Linked DNA regions of Danio rerio. The protein of the gene in region 2 interacts with the protein of the main gene of each other region in a biochemical or structural test. Links are inferred from orthologs where the notes say so. Each region holds a gene or a part of one and is shown on either strand. Other genes may lie near its edges.

Region 1 (4,160 bases), on a different chromosome or scaffold from region 2:
GGCCCTTTGTCTCTTACATCAGCATGGGTGCAGAGTTAGTGTTTTATGGGGAGTGACTCTGTTAAGATTATCAGTCGAGGAAATCGGGAGAGGATTAGGGCAGGAAGGGAATCGTGGGTAATACACTGCTATCAAAAACAAGCATGGTGAAGACCGAGATTCAGAAATGGCGGGGAAAGATTCAGAGGTGACTTCTCTCAACACATTGTACGGCTCAGGGGTGGGATTATAAAGCAATTAGCTGCAGTGGCGGTGATTAATACTGTGGCTAATAGGATGAGGCTGAAGATCGGATGGGGGAAGGAAGGTACCAAGCAGAAGAAACCTGGACGAAGACAAGCACAGTGCATCAATCACAGATGACAGCTGGGACAGGGTCCAGGAGCTCCATTCATCATGGGGAAGAGAGGGACACACACAGCTCAGCAAAGTAGCGGAGGAAGCATTAATTACTAGTTGCTTCAGACATCCCTGACAGCTCAGAATGTAAACTGAAGTCAGGTACTTGAATCAAGTTGAAGGCATTGAAAGATTTAAGTGATTTAAAACATTACAGAATGGCTGATTCAGACCTATAATGATCAGAGCATTTTAAGTTTTTTTTTTTTTTTTGTAACTTATGGCTATATCAAGCTATATGCTATGGCTTGTGGGCTTATATTTACTACTCAAAACCTCATCTCTTAATATACTGTAGTTCCTCAACATGCTGCCAAAGCAGAGCAAACTCACAGGGGCATGGTACTGTACATGTACCTGCCACCAAGATTTTAGCACATGCTTCAAGTCCTGTAGGTTGCTGTGTGGAATTGCCAACTTATTGGTCCAGCACATTCCACAGGTGGTCAATTTGGACTGATGTGGGGAATTTGGAGGCCTAGGCAACACCTAGTTTTCTCCACTGTGTACATCAACTATTCTTGAACAATGTATAGTGTGTGGCAGGGCAGGGTGCTTCATTCTATTTAAAGAGATCACTTGCACCAGGAAGTAGCACCACTGTACTGAAGAGGTGTACAGAACATGGTCTTCAACAATGTGTGGGTAGGTAGCATGTGTCAAATTACATCCACATGAATTGCCTGACCCAGTGACTCCCCATTGGGACTTTGCCTAGATCATTACTCTCAAGCCACTGGCTTGTTGTCATCCAACAATGCATCCTGATGCCATTACTTTTCCAGATAAACACCAATCATGTACACGAACATCCGCTTGGATTATTGGACCAGCTGACATTCCATTCCTCCAAGCTTCAGTTATGATGCTTGTCTACCTAATGAAGGCTTTTTTGATAGCTGATAGGGCCATTAAAGAGCACTTTTTAGTTTTTTTTTCCTATGTATTCCTGCCATAACCATTTTTCAAATTTTGCTCAAATTGTGCCACAGTAGAACTTTGACATTACCCTCTCCATTTTTAGGTAGAAATATGTTAACATTTACAGATACAAAATGTTTTGATTGATTCTGTTAGACTATATACAGTTTGCAAGTACTAATACATAAAAGGCAAACAACATAACTGTCTGAAATGTACAGAAAAATTAAGATTTCAATAAATATATAAACAATAAATATATATTTATATATAAATATATATATAACTACTTGTAAACCAAACCATACCTCTCGCTTTAAAATAATCATGAACAAAACAATTACTTAACAATCTTAATTTACTACATTAAAGTTGTTTTTAAACACTTTGTTTTCACAAGTTTTTCATTCAAACACTTGTTGCAATGCATTATAAATCCAGTGAAATCCAAAACGTATTTAATTTTTCAGCTTTTGTAAAACTTAAACTTGAAGCTTCAGTAACTGAATGCTACATGATAGTTTAGTGTAGTTGTTTTAAACTGTGTGTAATCATTTGGTCATTCAGAACAGAATCAAACAATCGTTCCATAAGACGTTTTATAAGTATATTTCATACGGTACTAGTTTTATTAGTCAAAACATTGAAAAGAATGTTTGAATAGAATATAATCTAAATATTTAATGTCAGTATTCATGAGGATTCATTTGTAAGTCTATAAAGTAATTGGCAAGCAAATGGACAAATTTATTAATAAATAATAAATGGTTTTAGATGTTGTCCATACATTATTATTTTTTATTTAAATGCTGTTCGTTTGTCAATACTGTATGTTTCATTTACTGTATGTCTGTGATAGATGTATGATAAATGTAGACTAATGCACATTGGGTGAAACCACACTTACAAATACATTCAAATACTAAATTAAGTTAAATAAAAGTTGAGTTAAATTGTGATGCCCAAGCAAAACTACAACTTGTTTGTGATCAACTAATAGTATAAGAAATGCATTACTGTATAGTAACAATTTATTGTGATTTAAAGCAAACAAAATCATTTTAATGTCAGCTAGATATGCATTGCTCATTCATCTCCATTACAAGAGCTATACAAGTCTACAACATCAAGCATTACATATCCCTCTAGATAAAATTGTACCATAAATACAAGAGAGTGAAAGATTTACCAAGCTATGTGCTATCTGTTCTGTGATTGATGGACTGATGGTATCATTTGAAATACTATAGAGTGAGTTCAAGCTATAGCTTTATCTTAAATTCCAAGAAATAGTGTTTCTTTATATGGTTTCCATAAAACCTGTAATACAGCTGCCCTGTGTATCTTTAAGGTTGTAGTGTGGGATGAACAACGTTATACTAATGCTGATAAGATTCTTGAGAACAAAAAGCACAGTACCTACAAAAAAAGCACAGCCGTCTCTTCCCTTTCTTCTCCGGTTTTTCCTTTGTGCTCTCTGGAAGGAAAGGAGAAAAGATCACATTAGCACAACACTGGCTCAGAGATGGCCATCTGCAACACACATTATCATCTCAGCCTCAGGGCAGAGCAGAAAGTCTTCAGGGTGTCCAGCAATAGACCCTAAGCATGATGCCTTTTTCTTTAAAGTGTATAGATTTATATAAAACAGAAAAAGAAATAACCAGGTTGCAAAGCAGGCCAAGGCACAGCTATGAGCCTAGAGATTTATCAAAATATCAAAATTCAAGTAGACTTTTGACATTCATCTCAGTTGCAGAGTATAAGTGTATGCAATGATCCACATTCAGTGACATAAGGTAAAACAATTCCCAATAGAACTGAGGATCACACACTTTACTCTGAATATTCAATTAAAGATGTTTTGAATAACAGCTTTAAAGTAGCCTGAAGGCAGAGCTGTACAGTGTGTCGGTCTGATGTTCATTAATTAGCGCAGCTCTAAATAAAACAGACTGCTCATTGTAGAGTTGAATTACAATATCTGAATGTCCACATGAAGACCTGTGACGATGAAGTCACCTTAAATTAAATATGAAAGAGAAGTAGGTTTGAGCTCGGGAGAGTTAATGGCAATCTAATATTCTGTTAATTATAAAGTGCAGTCTTGTGTTCCAAAATTGAAATCATTTAAGCTATGTAAAAGAAAAGCTTTGTTAAAAAACCAACCTTTTGCACATGGCACAGACTCGCTGATTTTAATCAAAAGTTTGAAGTTATATAAATCAATAATAATTATCATATTTATATGATACATTTCAGAAACTAAACCACATATTCAACATTTAATAAACACAGCAATACCTATCAGATTTTATCCTGAAGTTTCAATTTCTATAACTCTTTAAATTATAAGTATATAACTATATATATAGCCACTATATATTAAATATGCTCTCTAATATGTGTGTGTGTTCACTGTTGTAGTTTTTTAAATATGACAGTTTAAAAACAGTTTGAACTGTATGTGCAAAAATGGGGCATTTCTTACACAATTTATGCAATAATTGCATAATTTACATGACTGCAGTGTTTGCAGCTTATTAAATCTTTGCTTTCCATTCTCTGTCACACACACACACACTCTACATTCACTCCCTCCATATTTCCCCTTCTCTCTTTCCCTAATACGATTACATTTTATTTGCCCCCAGTTGCAGTTGATGCCACTCTTCATTATTTAACCTCCAGAAAGCATTTCCAGACTCAAGTGATAAACACACAGACACTAATTCTAGACAATTTACCCCCATTTAGTATGATTTATTATACACCGCTGACCACCTACTGGAGTATTCAATTAATAAAGCAGAGCCGCACGCTTGCCAAGTCTATCAATG
Region 2 (3,500 bases):
TCATTGTGCTGGACTGTGAAGCTCAGGGATGTCAGACAGTGAGCCTGTGAATTAATAGATAATGACAGCTTGAGTTTTGTCTCACCAATCAGGCTCACGCAGGGGGAGGGGATCCCTGCTGATGTACTATTGAAAAGCCTAAAGCGTTTGCCATTGACAGAAAAAAAAAGAATACCAGCACTGGTCGCAATGCAAATGCTATGACCACAGAAAAGCAACAAAACAGGATAAAAGATTATTTCTACACCAATGCACTTGCATTGATAGTCAATACTGCATTAAGAGGCATTGCTTGTTAGCACTGCATTGTGAATTGGGAGTTTGTGAGGATCTATTCAGACTAAAACCTTTAATCTACTATCTATGCTAATATTCTCATCATGCCAATACAAAGAAAGCAGAAGTAGCATTACTTTAGAGCAACAGCAAAATCACTATACAGGCTATAGACACTAAGAAAAAGTCGCAACTGGTTTATCAAATGAAAAACAGAATTTAGATGGAATTAAAAAGTTCTATTAGACAAGAGTAGCAGAGGAGAACAAGGCAAGCATGATCTTGATTTAAAGACCATAACATGGCTATGCTATGCTAATCCTATTTCTCCTATATCCTATATTTTTGTAGCTTACTAAAATTATTTTATTCACGTCTTTGCACTGACTTAACATGTAAACCGCTTACGCTTGATGCTTCATCAGCGTCTGGTGTGAACGCAGCATAAGTGGTTTAAAAAAATTGTACCTTAAAATTAAGTATGACCAAATATATAATATTAGGTATAATATGAACTCACAAGAACTCACAAGTGACCTATTCTGAAATTATTACTGTGTGACTTATGAACATATGACAACTCCAGCATGCTAAGTTCATTCCTGCTGTCTTATCATTTGACAACATGATTACCAAATTCAGCCCTAAAATCCCACCTGAATTCTTGTCCGGCAGGCGACCAATCCTCCATACTACAGACTTAAAGGCCTGTTCGTATTTGGCTGTGCCGAGTGTGACCCTCATGGCTGGTTCAGACCCTGATGTGCTAGTCGAACCAAAGCTGGCTCCTTTGTTGAATCGAGCCTTCAGAGACTTCTCTCCCGTCACACTCTCGCGCCTAAAGTTCTTTGCCCAAATTTCTGGTATGGGGTAACGAATTGCAACATTCTCACATGGTGTTAACGTTAAAGGATCCCTATTGGATGAGAACCCGGTTGACATTATCAGCCAGGACTGCATCTCCACTTCTGCACCCCTGACACAAGCAACAGTTCTCAGAGTGAAGGGAAGGGTTTTTTCGGCAAACGGAGTGCGGAAACGAAGCAGTTCAAATCGGCGGCCAACCGGTGGGCTGAACGTAATGGCTCGGGACTCGTTAAACTCTAGCTGGTCTGCACACTCATGCAATCGACAGTCCCGCAGTTGAATCCAACGTGAGGTTGTGTTAGGAATTATGTCATGCCGAGAAACCACCTCTTTACCTTTGATCTGGATATCATTGAGGCCGATACTACAAGGTGGGGATCCATTCAAGAAGGCTAGCATGTTCACTCGGGTAAAAACCAGCTGCTCCAAGATCCGGCTGTCTCCTTTGGAGAGAATCCCATAAAAGTCATCCCTCACCTCCACATGGACCTCCTCTTCAGTGTAAGTCGTTGGCCAGTTGAGACCTTCTTGGTCCATCGAGAGGCCCACAAGTCTCTCCTGTAGAGCGTGACGAAAGCTTAAGAAGTCCTGGTAGTTTGTAGTCCCAAGTTTCACCACTTGCTCTTTGACAGGCAAATGAACCACTGTGACCTTGGGCTGGATCTTCCTCTTTTCCTTGTAAACCACATGGTCTACACTGATGGTGTGAACCCGGCCATTTTCATCGTAGTTTTGAAGCTTGGGCTCTGATATTTCATGCTGGGAGTTCAGCTGGAACTCTTTAAAGGGCTTCTCCAGCCCTTTCTCATAGAAAAGTTGCAGCTGGCCGCTGTTCGTCAACCTGACAAATATTGGTCCCCAGTGACGTGAGGACATGATGTTCTTCTTCTCAGGAATACGCAGGAGCATCGGCCAGCCTTCCTGAGGTGTCATGTGGTGTGGTTCATAAGTGGAATCAGTGGAGTCCGCTTCATCCACTGAATCAGGTAAAGGAGGACTATCATCACGGTCAGGGTCAGAGATGTGTATATTCCTGAGCTGATTCAGACCATCTACAGGAAAGCTTGACTGGACACTATCTTTTTCAATTGCAGAGTCTTTCTGAGGTGGAAAAAGCAAAATAGATTCCCTTTTGATATCAGCATTTTGATATCCAAAGAAAGGTGAGCTGAAAGCAGACACATCCGATGCCTCTGAACACAAGCCAATGCCTTGGGAAGTTTTCAAGTCTGTTTCGTCAAAATAGGCACTGAAGGGGTTAATAGGAGAGGGCTTTAGGTTGGAGAAGTCATCATCTAAGAAAGGGTTCTTCTTGTTGTAAGGGACGCTGTTTTTTGATAATGTGTTATCAAACGCAAAGATTGAATTGTTGCCATCAGGGGTCAAGTCCAGGATGTGTCTCTCTGGCATCTGGCCACAAAATAAAGAGGGAATCAGGTTGCTGTTGGCATCCTGCAGAGGAGAATTGTTGAGGTTATGCAGTTTTATATTAGACGGCCTCCCCGGAGGCTGTAACACAGAGTCCTCATCCTCATCAAAAGTAACCCAGCTGGCAAAGCGGTTGGAGGTGACATAAGCTTGGCCATTGGTGTGTTGGTTATTTGCTGTCCAGTTGAATGAATCCATGTTCATTCCTTCATCGTCTTGGCACAAAGAAGAATCTGTCAATGAAAAAAGAAGACAAAGAAGCCACTTTAATATAAAATTTGACCACTGATATTATAATTAGCTGAATAACTTTCTCAAAGGAATAACCAGGAAGGGAGGAAGGGACATGTCATACATATGAGGCAGACTTAATCTTATAAACAAGAAAACGGATGACCTCCTCTGTCATTCCAGAGTACTTTGAGTTTATTTTTGAAACCTAATGAGAGTCACAATGGTTGGACTATTTTTGTCCATTTTCTGAAAGACATTTCCACTACAAGAAGAAGGCAGATTCTAATCAACTATGATTTATAGACAAATGCATAAATGTAAAATTTCCACTTGCCACAGATGCATTTAAAAGAGGATTATTGTGTGATTGAATACATAAGAAAATATTTTTCAGAATTAAAGTTTTTGCATTATGAAAAAAGGATAGCTAAATAATCAACTTTTTAGTCATTTTAGACACAGAAGACTGTTGATATGTAAGAACTTTAATTATTTAGTAAAATTTCTCACTATCTACTAGGACTTGTATATGGCAAAAATATGATCTCTATAATTATTTTCCATATAAAACGATTAACAATATATATACATACATACATACACACACACATACACACACACACACATACATACATACATACATACATACATACATACATACATACATACATACATACATACATATGTATATATTT

Evidence for each region. The genes of interacting proteins can lie anywhere in the genome.
Region 1: the proteins of ston2 (region 2) and syt1a form a complex in vitro, tested with the Homo sapiens proteins (2 studies listed by BioGRID). The link is inferred for Danio rerio from reciprocal best matches to the Homo sapiens genes STON2 and SYT1.

What each region holds. Positions count from the first base shown.
Region 1 is NC_133179.1:21,724,246-21,728,405, reverse strand, and holds the start of syt1a (synaptotagmin-1a), read right to left. Parts: upstream 2,801-4,160; 5' UTR 2,740-2,800; intron 1-2,739. UniProt on the Homo sapiens protein: Calcium sensor that participates in triggering neurotransmitter release at the synapse. May have a regulatory role in the membrane interactions during trafficking of synaptic vesicles at the active zone of the synapse.
Region 2 is NC_133192.1:18,053,660-18,057,159, reverse strand, and holds part of ston2 (stonin-2), read right to left. Parts: intron 2,805-3,500; coding exon of another isoform or gene 2,776-2,804; coding exon 933-2,775; intron 1-932. UniProt on the Homo sapiens protein: Adapter protein involved in endocytic machinery. Involved in the synaptic vesicle recycling. May facilitate clathrin-coated vesicle uncoating.